4 linked regions of the Oryzias latipes genome follow. The protein of the gene in region 2 purifies or fractionates together with the protein of the main gene of each other region. This does not show direct contact. Links are inferred from orthologs where the notes say so. Each region holds a gene or a part of one and is shown on either strand. Other genes may lie near its edges.

Evidence for each region. The genes of interacting proteins can lie anywhere in the genome.
Region 1: the proteins of dcaf7 (region 2) and tcp1 purify together in Homo sapiens (affinity purification with mass spectrometry; 3 studies listed by BioGRID and IntAct, counting the BioPlex papers as one, with this or other methods). This does not show direct contact. The link is inferred for Oryzias latipes from reciprocal best matches to the Homo sapiens genes DCAF7 and TCP1.
Region 3: the proteins of dcaf7 (region 2) and sowahc purify together in Homo sapiens (affinity purification with mass spectrometry; 4 studies listed by BioGRID and IntAct, counting the BioPlex papers as one, with this or other methods). This does not show direct contact. The link is inferred for Oryzias latipes from reciprocal best matches to the Homo sapiens genes DCAF7 and SOWAHC.
Region 4: the proteins of dcaf7 (region 2) and plk1 purify together in Homo sapiens (affinity purification with mass spectrometry; 3 studies listed by BioGRID and IntAct, with this or other methods). This does not show direct contact. The link is inferred for Oryzias latipes from reciprocal best matches to the Homo sapiens genes DCAF7 and PLK1.

What each region holds. Positions count from the first base shown.
Region 1 is NC_019882.2:7,310,919-7,315,436, forward strand, and holds the start of tcp1 (T-complex protein 1 subunit alpha), read left to right. Parts: upstream 1-1,534; 5' UTR 1,535-1,593; coding exon 1,594-1,666; intron 1,667-2,113; coding exon 2,114-2,199; intron 2,200-2,281; coding exon 2,282-2,410; intron 2,411-2,696; coding exon 2,697-2,794; intron 2,795-3,763; coding exon 3,764-3,874; intron 3,875-3,992; coding exon 3,993-4,174; intron 4,175-4,491; coding exon 4,492-4,518. UniProt on the Homo sapiens protein: Component of the chaperonin-containing T-complex (TRiC), a molecular chaperone complex that assists the folding of actin, tubulin and other proteins upon ATP hydrolysis.
Region 2 is NC_019866.2:4,065,101-4,069,405, forward strand, and holds the start of dcaf7 (DDB1- and CUL4-associated factor 7), read left to right. Parts: upstream 1-1,380; 5' UTR 1,381-1,628; coding exon 1,629-1,766; intron 1,767-2,025; coding exon 2,026-2,184; intron 2,185-4,305. UniProt on the Homo sapiens protein: Involved in craniofacial development. Acts upstream of the EDN1 pathway and is required for formation of the upper jaw equivalent, the palatoquadrate. The activity required for EDN1 pathway function differs between the first and second arches.
Region 3 is NC_019879.2:18,178,569-18,183,052, forward strand, and holds the start of sowahc (ankyrin repeat domain-containing protein SOWAHC), read left to right. Parts: upstream 1-1,500; 5' UTR 1,501-1,681; coding exon 1,682-1,994; intron 1,995-2,289; coding exon 2,290-2,666; intron 2,667-2,745; coding exon 2,746-3,135; intron 3,136-3,304; coding exon 3,305-3,769; 3' UTR 3,770-4,484. Other genes in the region: sept10 (septin-10), read right to left, coding at 1-50, 664-693.
Region 4 is NC_019859.2:22,726,184-22,730,624, forward strand, and holds the start of plk1 (serine/threonine-protein kinase PLK1), read right to left. Parts: upstream 2,985-4,441; 5' UTR 2,583-2,984; coding exon 2,220-2,582; intron 1,875-2,219; coding exon 1,706-1,874; intron 1,521-1,705; coding exon 1,376-1,520; intron 1,288-1,375; coding exon 1,194-1,287; intron 1,104-1,193; coding exon 878-1,103; intron 772-877; coding exon 729-771; intron 654-728; coding exon 556-653; intron 468-555; coding exon 390-467; intron 303-389; coding exon 148-302; intron 1-147. UniProt on the Homo sapiens protein: Serine/threonine-protein kinase that performs several important functions throughout M phase of the cell cycle, including the regulation of centrosome maturation and spindle assembly, the removal of cohesins from chromosome arms, the inactivation of anaphase-promoting complex/cyclosome (APC/C) inhibitors, and the regulation of mitotic exit and cytokinesis.

The DNA of each region.
Region 1 (4,518 bases), on a different chromosome or scaffold from region 2:
TGCTCAGAACTCCTGGGTGGTGATGGGATGCTTGTCTGGGGCTGGGGGTGCTCTACTTGGGCCCCTGTGGCAGTTGTGCTGGGTAGCGGATGTGATCACCCAGCGGATGGCTTTTCTCTATCTGCCACTGTGCGGGTGTTGGGGGGATCTGGCTGCCGCTGCTGCTGCAGCAGGGTCTTGGTACGGGGATGATGGGCCCTCTCCCTCCTTCTTTTTACATTCCATCATCCACCTCAGAATAACATAAACACTCACTTGAGCACAGGTGTTAGCTCACCTTTGCACTAATATTTAGCATGACTAAATGCATGCAAACTCTTAGCCTGAATGCATTTGTATGCGTGTGTGAACATCAGTTGTGTTATGCCCATGTTTACCTGTTTATATGTGAACATTATTGGAGCCAAAAGGTATGTTTGTAACATTTGAGTGTGTGTGTGGACAGCCCCTTCCCTTTTAGATTTATTATACATCAAAACTTCCAGCAAGTTTTGATGTTTAATTATTCCCCCCCCCCACTCTAACATTCATCTTTCTTCCCTCATTTGTTTTTCTTTCAAATCCAACAAAAAAAAATGTTACAAATATATGTTTAATATGAATATAGTTTAGTATAAATTACAAAAGGGGTTAATTCAAATATATACCATGTGTGTCAGAAGATTCATAACCCCATGTTGCAAAAAAAAATATGTCCAACACAAGAGGGCTTCAGCTCTCATCTGTTTCCTCAGTTGTTGGACAGGAGAAGTTAATAAAAAAAAGAAGGAAAAGAACTCCAAGAAGCAGGAGATGTGGACAATATTAGATACAGCTAATAATTGACAATTAGACTTCACTCAAACCACTTTTTGAACTTTGAAAGTCTAATTTAGTGTTTAACATGCATACATGTATCATTTCAGTTTGTTTAGAAAAATAATTAGTTAAAGAAAACATTGTTGCATTTGGTAACAAGAATAACTTTTATTGTCAACTAAAAGACAGAACAAATGTGCAAAAGAATAATATTTATTTTTGCTCATTTTACCTTTAGAAGTGTAAAACACTTTTATTTTGATTGCTGTTTCCAAAAAACAAATTTATCAATATGGCAAAAATATTTTTTGTGAGCAGAGGTGCATTAGCTTCAGAGAATCATTTGTCAGAGGTGACAGATGGTCAAAAAGACATTTTCATTATGGGAATCAATGTATCTAATGTATCTTAAAATTTAAAGAACAAAAGCAAATACATCAAGGAAAAACTAATTTTAAAAAAGCATAATGTAAGAAACTTGTTTTAGTTTTTTGCAAAAGTGTGTTTCGTCAGTAGGGGGCGCAAACCTTCAAGCCAGTTCTTTCAATCGAAAGCATTCTGGGAAATGTAGTTATAAATATCAGTTTAAAAAAGTGTATACTTTTCTAAGTCGTTCTTCTTGTTTCGATACGACATATGTCACATTTCAAAACTTAAAGTAGATAAGGTTGTTTTGTGTAAAACTATATTCTTTACTTTTTTTAACACGTTTTAATTCTCGAACCTTCCGTCATTTTGCCGGTTTACCCATAATGCACCCGGGTTGATTCTTTCTTCTCGGTGTGGTGCTCCAAAATGTCGCTTTTGGAAGGTCCGCTAAATGTCTTCGGCCAGAGAAGCACTGGGGAATCTGTTCGCACTCAAAATGGTGAACTGCTATTCATTTCATTTTGTAATTTTGTTTTATTTACAGTATTTATAGACTGCAGAGCGGTACTTGTGTCAATGAGGTTTCCGCATGTAGCACACACGTGCAGTCATGCTAGTGCTAGTTATCGTTACGACGATGTGTTAACTAGCTCGCATTGCTTTTAACCAGCACGGATGCGCGTTCTTTCCACAGAATTATAGCAATATCCATACTTTTATTTGGATATATGAATATACGGCTAAGTTTTGCGATTTAGCTTTAACGGATTAGCGGTTTAGCTCATGAGCCTCATCTCATGATGTAGTAGGAAGGTGTGGTCCGTTATTTGCCTGTTGCTATATAAAATATTACGTGCATCTCAAAAAACGAGAGTTTGTTGTTTTCAATTTGTAGTTAGCTGTTTCAAAGCGCACTTGATGACTTTATACTTCCGTGTTGTTGCAGTCATGGCCGCAGCTTCCATCGCGAACATCGTCAAGAGTTCTCTCGGACCCTACGGCCTCGACAAGATGCTGGTGGACGACATTGGGGTTTGTCTCGTGATTAAGTAAAACCAACAAACAATTCTGCGTCCTGTATTTGATTATATGGTTCCCATCCTGAAATTGACAGGACGTGACCATCACCAACGACGGAGCAACCATCCTGAAGATGCTGGAGGTAGAACATCCTGCTGCCAAAGTCCTGTGCGAGCTTGCTGACCTCCAGGACAAGGAGGTTGGAGATGGAACTACATCTGTTGTAAGTCTTGGCTGACAGCTCCTCTCAAATCCACCGAAAGAGGAAGTGTTGGGGATTTTAGTTCTCTTTCCGTGTGTTGAATCTTAGAACAAAATCCTGTTCTAGTACCATGCATCTGCTTTTATTACGGATGTGTGGCTATGCTAACAGGATAGAGAAACTATCCCTCAGTGTCTGAAGGGGTTCTGCAGCCTCATTTCTGCCACTCCTAATGAAACGATGGTACAAAATTTAAATGTGTAAATTGTTAAAATGTCATTTTGATCACTGTAATACTTTCTGGCAGGTGATTCTCGCTGCAGAGCTACTGAAAAGTGCAGACGAGCTGGTAAAGCAGAAGATTCATCCAACCTCAGTCATCAATGGATACCGCCTGGCTTGCAAGTGAGATGGGTTAATAATAACTAGGGATGTCCTGATCACTGTTTTTATTTTTCTCTTTTTTTTTTTTTTTTTTTTAGTTTTGCCCGATTTGATTGCGAATCATTACATTTTGTGTCCCAATCCAATGCTTAAACGATCTTAGACAATGAGGTAATTTGACCAATCAAGCAAAGATAGTGCTACTATCAACAAGAAAAAAATGTTAACTATTGACTAGTAAAAATGGATGATTAGTCATGTGAGAAAGTTTGACTGTTGCTTTAGTGTCTTCAGAATTATTTAACTTTTTTGATCAGATGTGATTCATATCTCTTCAATATTCTTTAAAAAAAAAGGTTAAATAGTTGTTGTAGCATAAATATGATTCATGACTAGTTATTCAACCATTTAATAGTTTCGGTTGTTTTTGGGACATGGATTTTTTTTTCTTTTCCCTTTGCTGGAAAAACTCAACTGAGTTTTTCACTTAGCAGATGGTCTCTTGGTCTCACTGCTGTCTCTGTCAGCACCACGGATAGAGCCATTTTCATTAAAGGAAACCAAAACACAACCTTTTTCTTTTGAAATGCCGTTGTAGGTCATTGTTCGAGTTAAGACAAAACGCAAAAGACATTTGTGTTTTAAAAGGTTATTAAAAGAATTTTTTAGCCTAGAAGTCTGAATCTTTAAATATCTTGCTAACTTTCCTGAACTGTTTTTGCTCAAACAAGTGCCGTATTCTGCTGCGCTTTACAGCAATATAATGTCGTAGTCTGTTCATGATTTAAAGACTTCTAGTATAGTATTTATTTGTAATAGTAAGCTTGAAACATATAACTCTGATGTTAAAGACAAAATAAACATCTGATCCAGATTAAGGCTCAAATTACAGTGGCGTGATCAGATTGGGACATCCCTAACAGTAACCGTTGTGAAAGATGAATTCTAAGTCTAACAAAACCTCTGAGTCATTTTTTTTCTTTCCTGTAGAGAGGCAGTGCGCTACATAAATGAGAACCTCACCATTGGGACTGATGATCTGGGAAGAGAATGCCTGATCAACGCAGCCAAGACCTCCATGTCTTCAAAAATCATAAAAGTGTATCCTGACCGACAATGTGTCAAATCTTCCTGGAAAATTACGTCGTCTCAGTCAAGTGTTTGTGCTTGTGCTAAAAGTGAATACTGAGCGCTTGTTTACCTTGACTTCAGTCTTCAGTGATTCAGACTTCTTTGCAAACATGGTGGTTGATGCTGCCCTGGCTGTGAAGTTTGTGGACAGCAAAGGAGTGGCCAAATACCCGATCAACTCTGTCAATGTGCTGAAAGCTCACGGTCGCAGCCAGGAGGAGAGTTTTTTGGTTAACGGATACGCCCTGAACTGCACAGTTGGTTCACAAGGTGTGTTTTTCAATGTTTTTCAAAAAGCTGTTAGTTTGAAATGTGTGGACTTTCACACGTTTTTTTTTTCCATACCTTTCTGTAAAGTTACTGTTGTTTAAAGTCCCATTTTTTTTTGCTGCTATACCTTGCTCGGTGGTATACGCAGTGATACGCGTGGGAAATAGTAAACTGGTTGAAGAGAAGTCTAGTGGCAGTGATATTTAAACTCTGGCACTTCTTTTGGCCAAACAGGATTTACTTTTTTGTCTTTTTGGAGCACTATTCTGTAATGTCTTCAGACACCTTCAGCTAAAGACGAGCTGGTTTCTCTGCAGGAATGGTGAAACGTATTGTAAATGCGA
Region 2 (4,305 bases):
AAACTGCTATATATTTAGTGAGATTTGTAAACAGAGTGTAAACCAAAAATAATGAAGAAGCTGCCTACCTTGAGGATAAAGTATAGCAATGAACGCGAAGCTGGTTAGGAGAAAAGAACTTGAAACTGTCCTTGGAGTAAAGTTCCGTTTGAGACAGGAAACTGCCAGTGACATGACTTGCCTTTCAAAATAAAAGCAACGATGTAGAAAACTTTTTCCAGAAGTCTAGCATGTGTTCTCTTGCAGTGACAGATAACAAGACACACCAAGATTTCCTTTTTTTTTTTTTAAATCACCAACCAATAGAGTGTTTTTACTGCAAGATGAGTTGTCATTTGTATAAGAAAGTCTGGAGTGATAGAGAAGTATGTTTGAGTTGTTCAGGACATCCATTAGAGCTGGAAGACATAAGACGTGCTGTATGTGTGACAGAAGAGTTCAAGCTGGAGGTGAGACTGCACCATCAGCTTTGAGCTCCTTCTTGTTTGCTGTGATGATGGATGGACAAACTGGCAGATAAGGAACCTCTATAGATCGTGATGTTTGCAGTTGACATCACGATCTGAGCAGAGAGCAGGTGGAGGAACATCTAGGAGATTTGTTCTGGAATGCAGAGGAATGAAGATCAGCTGCAGCAAGACAAAGTTGCTGCATTTAAATGAGAGGAATTTAAGCGGAATGTTTCAGGGAGCAGAGGTGAAAAATTGAGGACTTTAATGGCCACTTGTTGTGGTAATTAAGCCATTCATTAACATACCATGGTTTATAAACTTTACATTAATTGAATTATAAATTGTCTAGGAATACTTTTGACAGCAACAAATACAAGTTCCTTTCAAAACCAGCTGACAGTGCCACACCGTCACAAGGAGGTTCGATATTTGGTGTGGTATACGATATTTTTTTGGACAGAAAAAGCAACTAAAAGGGCTCAATCAAATTGGAATAATCTTACTTCCGGTTCATGTGTCAAAATTAAACATAGAAACAAGACTGCACATTCGTTAGAAAGTAAACATTGACGCTGCATCGTATAATAAACATAAAATTCATTAGGATATGTAGACAAGATGTTACAAGAAAAACAATCTTGAAGCCTGTAAACTGTATTTACCCCCTTATGGTCACAACTGCAGACAGTAATCAAGATTGACGTAACTACATAATTTCGCTTCCGGTAGACACGTTAAAAATAAAACTATTTTGAAACACAGCCTGACAGTGAGAAATACATAGCAAAAAAATTACGTAAATTTTATTTTAATTATAATTAAATTCATAAAACACATGTTTAATTTAACAACATAAACTCAAACGTTCTCACTAAAAGTTTTAATGAGTGCTCTTTAAAAACTCTCTTTTATTTTGAAAGTGTAACCAGGAAGTTCTTCATACGTCGGTTAGATGGTTCGCCATCAAGATCGTAACAAGCAATGCTACTCTTTGTTAAGTGAAGTGCTGTAAAATCTTGTTTTAGAACAAGATTTACGTTTTTAACAGTCAACCGTGCTTCTTTTGATGCTTTTCTATTATAGGAAAACGAGCCGGTAAAAGTTCGTCGCGGCGTTTTCTTATTTGACAGTAAGCTAGGGCTAGCGTGTTAGCTGCTCAGACAACAGCTCGTGAGGATGTCGCTTCACGGCAAAAGAAAAGAAATCTACAAGTACGAGGCGCCATGGACGGTGTACGCAATGAACTGGAGCGTTCGTCCGGATAAACGCTTTCGGCTGGCCCTCGGGAGCTTTGTGGAAGAGTATAACAACAAGGTGCGTAGCTTGTTTTATGTTTTGTTTTTTGAGTCAGCTAACCCTTCACGAACAAACGCGCTTGAATCAGTGCTATGCTAGCTCTGTACATGTTTAGAGTGGTATTGCAAAATGTTATTGCGTTTATTATCTTCGTAATAACGTCTCCATCGATGCTTAATGGTACCCCTTTTTTAATTTAATTTAATTAATTAATTAATTTATTTTTTATTAGAACGAATCGCTTTTATTTTTTTCTTGTCATCATATCTCTACTCAGGTTCAGTTGGTGGGTCTGGAAGAGGAGAGCTCCGAGTTTGTCTGCAGGAACACGTTTGATCACCCTTACCCCACCACCAAGATCATGTGGATCCCGGACACCAAAGGGGTCTACCCAGACCTGCTGGCCACCAGTGGAGACTATTTGCGCATTTGGAGGGTAGGATGTCAAACCCCGGTCACCTGCTGCGTCTGTCATGTTTTTGTTTGGGTCATCTCTTTGTAACTCGAGTACTTTTCACTTTGGGATTTTTTTTTACATCGGTGTGTTTGAAGGAACTTATACTTGTCATGCTTTACATTGCCGCATCGCTGCTTTATGTGTTAAAACTCTTTTATATTAAAGGGGATTTTCAGACCTGTAAGCATAATGTTACAATTATCAAATGAAACTTTATTTATAGGGCATTTTTCATACAACAGTGAGTGCTTTATAGACTTGAAACAATCAAAAAAATAAATAAATTATAAAATAGATTATAGAACACATTTAAACATAAAATTACATAAATACAATTCAAAATAGAGACAAAAGTGAAAGAAGTGAGGAAATTTTATTTTGAAATGAGATAGAACTGTAAGTAAGTAAAAGTAAACTAAATGTCTGGAGCATTTTTTTTTAAATAAAAAGGTGTATGTTACCTCTTTATTTTCTTTTAAAAAGCACAGCATTTGTATATATTTTTTTTAAATTTCCCTGAACTATAGCTATAATGCTGAACCACTATGACAAAGGCTCCATGTATGTAATGAAACCTGTCGTTATACTTTTTTTCCTCCCATTTCTAACTTTTGTGATGCCTCACAGTTTCTTTTAAAAGTATCATTTGGCAGGTTACATATATGCCTGTTAATTGGCTTCTAACATCAGTTTAAGTATTTTTTAAAAACACACGCAATGCTGTTTATTAGGCCTGGGCGAAAAATCGATTGAATGAATTAATTCGAATTTTTTGTTACGGGCGATTTCAAAAATAACTGAATCGAGTTTTTGTGTAATGGCGCATTTTTGGCTCCCCGGAGCTTCCGTAGCGTTAGTTTCACACGGCAATGTGGCAAGCGACAAACAACAACATCATAGCACACACGAAACAGCAAGCGACAACATGGCTTACTGCCACCGACGTGGAGGAAGAGCCCCCCCCCCCACGCTGCAACATTTGCCTAAAGCCCATCGCAGTCAAAGGCAACAGCACCACAAACCTATTCCAACACCTGGGGGAAACCTTTTATTACAGTTCTCCTTCAATCCGTAACTCCAAACATGAACGCCCCCCCCCCCAGCACGCTGTCACTCACTCTCGCGCGGCACGCGCTCATTCCTCTTACACACGCACGCAGTGCGCTGACACGCACACTCATTCTCCAACACCTATATGGTTAGTTCATTAGTTACTTCGTAGTTAGTTTTTACTGTTATTTGTTAATAAAGAATACTGCGTTGCAATTATGAATTACATTTATTTGTGTATTCATTTGCGATGCCGGATGTTGTGTTAGGCGGGGGGGTTGACCGCGACTCCTGCTGCTTCGTCAGCGCGGTGATCAAAAATCCCACACCGTGACAGCTCTAGTTTATATCTTGTGGGACACAGAAAAAATGCGACTTTTCCAGTACGGATAGCAGAACCGTTGAGGTCAGATCTTGAAGAATGTTGCTCTGGGGCTCGTTCAATACGGGGGCTCAGTACCCATCCCTAGGGGCACGGTGGAGAACAATCACTGAAGCGGTCGCTTTGCATACAGCCAAAGACATGGTACCCATATATACTGTGGAGAAAACGGGCTTTATTAATTCAATTAAAACCTTAGACCCCAGATATGAGCTGTATTGTTAATCCTTTAGAAATGGTGCTACTCTCAAGGTGTAAGTCTGACTTAAAACACAGCTGGGACTTTGATTCCCGGAGTGTGTTCATTTATTTATTATTCATCCCAGAAATGGGGGTTACATTTGTCTTGCGTTTGATTAAATAAATCAAAATTTGCTTTAAGTTTTCTGCCGTTTGTACTTATTGCTTTCCTTAGGTAGGGGGGAAAATCGGAAAAAATCAGAAATCAATTAAAAACATTTTTTTAGACCATATCGCCCAGCCCCAGTGTTTATACATGCTTATACCATGGTCTGAAAGAATACTTAATTCTGATTGGCTGCTGGGTGTGGATATATCATTTTCCTTTGCCGCTCCAGTCGAGGTCACAAGACAATTTGCAGCACAACGTAAGAAATAGTCTGCTTTTTGTGAGAACAATTATTTAAACCCAAAAAATAGCAAGAATA
Region 3 (4,484 bases), on a different chromosome or scaffold from region 2:
CTGTCAAAGCCCACATGGCCGGCTAGAGACAGGGGTCTTGCTCCTTTATCCTGTGAAATGCCAAGTGCAAGCATTAGGTCCGTTGTTAGGGGGATGTTGCTTTATTTTTCTATGATCAGTACCAACCCAGCTGAAGGAAAAACAACACTCCAAATATCAGGGGACAAATATCTGAGCTGTCAGTGATTTTTATGACAAACTTTGTTGTTGTTGTTTTCGTTTGATTACTTGTAAGTGTTTGATTTCTTACCTTAAAACCAGCATAAAACTAGCATGACATGACTTTGCAAAAATGGATCATTTAACGTTCAAATGTGCAAACACACAAGCAATTATGAGACAAATAGTTTGATTTACACAAACAAAGCTTCTTGCAGAAAGTTATGCTAACCCCACTCGGACAATCTTGCTTTCATAAAACACGCAACACAGATTCTAAGAAAAAATTCACGTAAAATACAATAACAAACATAAAAAGTGCTCTGCGAGTATGCCCTTTAGTTACTAAAAGCGTTAGCACTATTTTATAGTTTTAACTACCAAGTTTGAAAAACTTTTATGAAGTAAGGCTAGCTGGATGTGACTGCATGTGTTAGCTTCGGACACTCCCTGCTCAGCTGTCAGGAACAGTCACTGGAAAACCACACAAAAAACAAAACTTACCGGCTGCCGAGCAACATCAGAAGAAGCCATGGTTTCAGACTAAACTTAAAGGCGTCAATTAGGACAACTATTATTAATTAAAACTGGGGGAAAAAATCCGAGATGATGTCCTATGAAATCCAGAAAGAGCGCCGTTGAGTCTGCACTCGACGAATGAAAAGACGATACCAATCACAACAATGTAGAAATGAGGGTAAACGTTTGGTTTGGCAAACCGTTTTAAAACACGTAGTTCCATAAATGTCATAAATAGAGGTTATAGGAATATTTAAACTTTTAAACACGTTTTTCATCTTAAGACTTTATAAAAAATTTAACTAAATACAGCAACATGTTATGCTATGCTATAAATTTGTCCCTTTTGTGCAATGGTATAGCCCATGTGAATCTTCCCAGTCACTCCCAATTTTATAGTTATGTTTTCGAACGGAACAGAAATTTGGTAACTTTTCAAGGAACGATTCATTGTGAATTTTGTTTCTGACATTTTAATTTAAAAGTGTACCACGAGACCTCAAACGTGTTAACAACTGAAAACAAAAATCAATTGATTTGTTTAAATCTGGAAGTAAAAACGTATGTCCTCAAATCCAAACATGTTTTAACGCATTACAGTAATTTGTTCTTCCGGGAGTAATCAACAATTTGCTATTTTTAAGATGTTCAAACGGCGATGTTAGTGTCCACCAGCACATGCAGCTGTATTACGTGGATTTACGGCGCTATTTTTTATTTAGAGGTTTGGACACTCGTGATTACGAGGAGTCCCTAAATGCAACTCTTTGCAGTTTACGAGATTCTTCAAAAAAAAAAAAAGAAAGAACAGCTCAAGCGCGACCCCTATCGTTCAATGCCCGCCACAGGTTTTCCAATGGAGGAAGGAGGAGGCCGGAGAGGATGCGATTCTTTGCTGCCACCGAACCAAGTGGATGAGCAGTACCATGAATGTATCCTGGGAAGTTAATGAGTAGCTGAGCCTGCGACTCTTTCCAGTCATTAAAGGAGGAAGAGGAGGGCGATGGCATCCCAGATCACGGAGGAAGCCGTGCAGGGGTTTCTGTCGGAAAGAGGAGGGAGGGTCCAACAGATGGAGCTGATGGATCATTTCTTATCTCTCCGTGGGTGTCATGACCAGTCAGACGAAGGGCTGCGGCGCATCGTCGACAGCCTGTGTTTGGTGAAGGTGGAGAACGGGGTGAAATATGTGTGTCTGAACGCGATGCGTTCGGACTCGGGCGGCCCGGACCACCAAGCGGAGTGCAACGGCAACATCCAAGAGGCGCTGGACAACAAACATGTGAACGGCAATCCTGAAAATGGAGTCCAAACAGGTGAGGGGAGAGGATGTTAATTTTTCCCTTTGCTGGATTTTTTTTTCAATTGTTTACATTTAAGTTTTTATGTTTTGTCGCAAGTGGTAAAACGCTGTTTTGAAGCATAATTGTATTTATTTTATTTTATGTTTTAACTTTACATATTTTCACAACAGTTTTATTTTGAAAAATAACAGAATTATTTCAGCAGATATGGATATTATCTATGCAGAAAAATTACTGTGTGCATCTTTTAAAACATCACTACACATAAACTCTGTTGAAGTGGAAACCCCGTTTTATTCCTCTACAGAGGCACCACTTGCCAGCTTGGACAATAACAAACAGTCAAACGACAACGAGAATGGGGCCAGGTCTCAGTGTAGAATCAACGCAAGGACGCCTGCTACATCTACAGGTGGAGGGGAGGTGAGGCTGAGGGACAGGAGGAGGCGAGAGTCGGCCCCAGTCATTGCTGTGCAAGATCTGGACCAGGGCCACCCTGCTGGGCCACACTGCCAGCAGGTGCGAGGGGCTCGCAGGGTTTCCAAGGGATCCCAAAGAGCCATCCTAACCAGCTGCTTGTCTGAAGACAGCGCACTGGAGGGACTGGAGTCCATTGGGGATATTCACACACCCAAGGGCAGCCGCAGGAACTTTATAGAGCTGATGATGAGTACTTCTCCTCAGGTTGGAGTTTTTTTTTTCATTGATTTTCTATATTTGCATATAAAAGTGCCAACAAATGTCAAGAACTTAGCTCTCACAGGTTCGCAGGTCGCTGATCAACCGTGGGCCCCGTGTCCGAGACTCCCTGAGGAGCGAAGGTGACTCGGCGTCCCTCCTCTCCTCAGCCACCGATGAGGACTGTGCCTTGGTGACTTTGGACCCACTAGAGCACGAGTGGATGCTTTGCGCCTCAGACGGCATGTGGGAGAGTCTACAGCCGCTGTTGGCCGTGGAGCCCAGCCTGGTGGCCAAAAGGGACTTTGTTACGGGCTTCACCTGCCTCCACTGGGCGGCGAAGCAGGGCAAAGCCGAGCTGCTGTCCCAGCTGCTGGGCTTCGCCAAGAAGAACACCGTACCTTTGAATGTGAACGTGAGATCTAGTGCTGGATACACACCGCTGCACCTGGCTGCCATGCATGGTCACACACAGGTGGGTTGCAGGGAGTAGGAGACACTCAATTTGATCTCAAATAACCCACATTTCTTTAAAAATAACATATTAAATTTACAAAAAGAGAATTGTTTTTCATTCTTTTATAATTTGCTGATGTATAGCCGGCATTTATAGAAGAGCAAATGCCCTTCACTGTGGTTGGCAGGTGGTTCGGCTGCTGCTGTCAGACTGGGAGGCAGACCCCGAAGCTCGGGATTACAGCGGGAGGCGAGCCATCCAGTACTTGCCCCCACCGCTGGCTGCTGACCTGCAGCAGGAAGGAGTGGTCACCTCACCGACCGCCGAGTCGGACGCCGAAAACGGCAGCGGAAGCAGAGGTGGAGGGCGAGGCTGGAAGCTGGCCAGAGTGCTGCAGGGCAACCTGAACCCTCTGCGGCGACTCCACCTGTCAGCTGAAGCGGCGGAAGAGCCGGCGGGGAGCGGGAAGGCCAAGGGGGCCCTGCAGAGGAAAACGTCCCTCAGCCGACTGAACGCCAAACTGCATCGTGGGCGCCACCGGGCCCAGATCATCCACAGCGCCTCCTTTAGGGACTCTGGAGAAGTGGAGATAGGAGAAGACGCAACCAGCAGTCCACTTCGCACTAGACCACTATCCAGCCTGTTTGGGTGAAGTACAACCAGCAAAATAACCAGCATCTTTAAACAATTCCATTTCCACATCTCAGAGTTCCAATATTTCCTACAAATAAACAAAGATTTTTTTCTTTAGAAATGGTCACTTATTCTCCTGAGCTTTAATTTATCTTTGTTCCGAATGCAGTGAATAAGCTTTTTGCCAATCACACAAAAGGGAGGTCCCTCTTTTTACCCGTCAAACCCATTTCTTTAAATCCAAATCAGATCAGCGGATCTGCATATATTCAGCTTGTCCTAGTTGTTCTGTCTAGAAAGGCCTTGTTTAAAGAAAGTAGCAAAACATTAGGATTCTGTTCACACAAACCTAAAAATACCTTGATTATGTAGCCTTACTGTAGGTCAGAAGCACTTTGAAGTGGTTCCACACTTTTTCCTCCATAAAAAGCATCAGATTTGTTTACAGAGTCATATATTTTTAGTTTTTCAAATGTGAATGATGTCCCTTTCCTGTGTTGGAGTGGTGCTGAAGCTTTCTTTTTATGGTACATTTCTGGAAAAATGGATTTATTTCATGAAAAACAGAGTTTAATATTTACTGTTCTTGTATTGATCAACCTGTTTGCACTCGTCACTTTGAAGTCTGTAGCTGATTTAGGAATAGAACTACATAAACTAAATACACTTATAAAAAAGAACCCTTTTGTTTTCTGTTACACTTTTATTTTGCAGGTCTAATCGGTTATACAGAC
Region 4 (4,441 bases), on a different chromosome or scaffold from region 2:
AATTATTAATTTGAGGGAACAATTCATTTTTTGATGTCATATCCAGGGCTCTAAAAAAAACAATAACGTGAAAGAAGACAGGTTATTCTGTCTTCTTTCAGAATTACCTGAACAAAGCAACAAACAGAATTAGCTTCATCCACCAACCTTTTTGTTGAGAGAAGCAGGGAATGAGCGAACGCTTAAATAGGACTCAGCAGCCTTCTTGTCAATGTACTGCAGACTGTCGCCATCAGCATACATGATGAGTCGGGTGAAATCGTTGAATAGAACACCAACACTGTTGTCACAAAGCTGGTATCCTGCGAAAGCAATTTACAGCACACCCTTAATTCTCCATTAAAAGCAAGACAATAAAAGGCAAACCTGTCCTAAGATTTAGAATTTACCTAATCCATATTTGTCAGAGTAGTCGACCCATTTACTGATCCAAAAGATGGGAATACACGCAGGATCCTCTGCTTCCTCTGAAATCAAAGACAAGGGGTTTTCTGTAAGAAGGACTGACTAAAACTGCAGAAAGTTTAGGTAGTTCCTGCAGGCGGCTGCTCTCACCTTGCCGAATGACCGCCTTCTCTGAAGGCTTGGCAGAGATGATGCTGTTGAGCTGCTGCAGCATGTCCTTCAGGTAACATTCTTCTGGCTCCGCCTCTCTGCACACAAAATTCCCATTTATCATTTTTGATCAAACTACGACGCATGTTTTAGACCTTAGTGTGATGTCTCACAGTGGAGCAGGCTCGTCTTTCATGTCCACCTTCTCTGTGCCGGCTGAGAAAAAAAATATATAAAAAAAACCTCCATCAATATCACTGTTGATTAACTGCAGACTTTCATTATCAGTGCACCAGTTTTGGGCAATTGTTGGGTTTGTTACCTTTGTTGTTTATGGCAGTCAGGGGGCGCCTCTGGCTGAGCTCTGCAGCCATGGAGGGGGCAATGGAGAACCGCGGGGGCACAGTGAGACAAGTGGTGGGCAGCCGCAGGGGGACGTATCCCGATGTGAAGAACTCATCCGTCTGCAGGTCAGTGATGGTGGGCCTCTGGGCAGGATCGGCATGCAGCATCCTCTTGATGAGAGCCGAGGCTGACGGGTTGATTTGCTGCAGCATTCAAGTGAAGTGACGGTAAACTTAAGATTTTCTTTCACCAACTATTACGTACATTTAGGGATTAACGTCAGCTCTTCTCACCCAGGGGATGGTGTAATTGTTCTTCTTGATCCGGTTGTATGTGTCTTTCAGGCATGAGGTTTCAAACGGAGGCTTGCCGACTAACAAAGTGTACCTATGAGAGGATACAGGAAGGAAGTTGAGTATCCAGAATCCTGTGGAATGACACTCTTCCCCACTCCACTGTGGGTTTACACACTTACAATATGCACCCAAGTGACCAGACATCCACTTCATAGCTGTGGCCTTTCTTGCACAGCACTTCCGGAGCGATATAGTTGGGCGTTCCACACAAGGTCTTCTTCCGTTCACCATCAAACTCAATCTTTGTGGCCAAACCAAAGTCACCTAGCAAAAAAGGAAAGAAAGAAATGATCAGCGTTTAATCTGAGTAAAGGATATTAAGAAGCCAAATATGGGTGTTAACAAATTGGAGCTGGAAGTTCTCAACAAGGAAGTTATGGGAGCATATCAAGAACATGGGTGTGCCCGTTTCTTTGTCACTACACCGACAGGTTTCCTGCTCTCCATACCTATCTTGACTTCCATGTCGTCGTTGAGGAAGATGTTCCCCAGTTTCAGGTCTCTGTGGATGACCTTGTTGCTGTGCAGATAATGGACCCCTTTCAGCAGCTGGGTCATGTAGTAGCGAGCCTCCGGCTCCGTGACCGCCTTCCTGCGCTTGTGCAACTCCAACAGGGACTTGAAAAAGGACAACAGTTCTGGTGAGCGGCTGAACTCAGTGGAGGAAAATGGAGGCTGGGAGAGCATGAACAAGCTGGATGAAGTGAAGTGGCACCTCAAGAAGTGTTAAAAACAACACGTGGAACAACACAAAGGGGAAAAAGAATTTAGATATCTCTATAGTTTTAAATTACAAAAAGTTACTGGTTTAGGATAAGTAACAGTGATTTAAAGCAGTGATCAGGGGATTTGAGTCTCCCAGCACTATGCCAAAGGAGGGGGGGGGGGGGGGGTAACGGAAGAGGCCACATTGTTAACCGTTGGCCTTCATGTATTTTCATTTAGAGTTCCCAAAATCCTCACCCTTCTCCTGCAGATCTCCAGGACCACATAGACAAAGTCGTCGTCCTCAAAGAAGCCGTGGAAGCCCACGATGTTAGCATGATTGAGGCTCTTGTGAATGGAGATTTCCGAGCTCATCTTCTCCCTTTGGTGCTGCTTCAGGATCAACGACTTGGGCACTATTTTGCCAGCGAAAACCTGCTTGGTCTCCATGTCTGTAATTTCGAAGCATTTGGCGAAGCCCCCCTTGCCGAGGAACCTGCCCTTGGAGTATCTCCTCAGGGTGCGGGGATCCACCAAAACCTCTGGGATTTCTTTCAGAGGAGCCGATTTTGGGTCGACGTGTCCGGACGGCTGCGCCGGCTTTGCGATAGCAGCACTCATGGTGTACTTTAAAAGTGCTCTTTCCGCGTTAATAAAACTCCAAAGAAGTCGAAACGCAAAAGTTATTAAACAAGGGCTAAAGTGTTGTTTAACCCTCCAACTCAACCGACGTTAGTTTAGCCTTCGAAGCTAACTTTTTCTACGCCTCAATTTACAGCAAATACTAACAAACGATCTAAACCGCAAACGTTGACTAACATTTAAAGGCCGACAGGTCCCAAGATTAAATAAATTAATTAAAAAAAAAACCGGAGGCAGAATTCTTGCGCAGACTTCCCCGGCAGCGGTTGCCTTGTCCCGTTCTGCCTTTTCGATAACAAGTGTCTCGTACAAATTTAAAATGCTGGCTCGGTCGTTTTGGCGATCGTTGATTGGTCTGCTAGATTTGAATTCCACAGCGTCACAGCAAAGCATCTTGGGAACATGTGTACAAAAATAGCCAATCAGGAGTAGAGTAGAAGGCCTCCAACAATCTGATTGGCTGAAAGGCTGTTTTTGTTTCCTCGAGAAAGACGGATGGGAAATGTAGTCGGGAAAAGGATTTAATTTCGAAAGTGTTTTGTTATTAGCGTTATCCGAATTATGGCCACTCCTGATCCAATATCGATCATTTAGGTTCATGTTATTAGTTGAACACTAATATTACATGAATGCAGAGGATCATATGAAGTTTATTTAATCTTTGTTAGACTATGAGTTTTTTATGAATTTGTCATTTTCACTTTTTGGATGGATTTTTATTGACAGACATTGTTGGTTCAGGTTATACACTTTTATTTTTATTGATTGCCATGCTGACTGTGTACACTCATCTTGCGCCACACTTCCTTGAAAAACTTTCAACTTTTCATAAATTGAGAAACATGTGAGTGTTTGCTTTCTTCTCATGTTTTCTTTTAATTTCTACTCTGTTAGAACAACCATTAAATACTGTTTCAAACCAAATTCTCAGACAGTGCTATCGGCATTCTAAGTGTATCATTGTAATCATTGAAAAGCCACAAATGCCCTCTGTAGATACCAAAAGGAGTTCATTCAGTAATTGCAGTGGTTGAATAATTTTCAGGTCTAGAAATGTCCACTATGGGGACAAGTTTTTATTGCCGGTAGTGAGGAGGATATTTTTCACTCTAGATTGGTTGAAATTCAAAAAGGATTTTGAGCAAAAAAGCCTCAGGGTTTAACTTGAAAGATTATTTATGCTGGAAAGCATAAAATGGTGAGAAGCAGTAAAATATAGTGTAACAAAAGCAATATGAGAAAGTAAACCTGCAGTAATGGTTTAATCTGTCTTGCCACACTAAAAAAAAGTCACATCGTTTTTGTGATACCAAGATTATTGTTTATTTGACAAGATGTTAACATGATGAAATTAAGGACTTTCACTTTCTGATCATGATGGTTAACCTGTTGATGCCTATACTTAAATAATAACTCCAGAATACATGAAGATTCCCAATTTTTTACATTTGGATATTGACTGTACTGTTTGGTTTCAACATGCCAAGCTAAAAAAAAAAAAAAAAGTTGTTTTTCCCCTAAGGTTTTCATTTCTTTTTTTCTTTATCCACCACTGCATGGTAGTTGGGGTAACCAGTTAATAGATTGCTGGTTGCTGGCTGATCAACATTTTGTGGTAAATTAATTTGGGTTAAGAGTGTAAAGGGGGAATGGTTATGGGACACTAACTCAAAACACAGCTTGTTGAGGGGATGCTTACCTGAAGACTGCGGGGACTTGCTTGCACCGGTGCATCCTAAGGCTACAAACACACCGTTTATAAACCATCAGAGGTTGTAAAGGAATACAGTTCAGTAGTTTGGAGGTAGCATTACTTATTCAAGAGCCACATGTTTTTA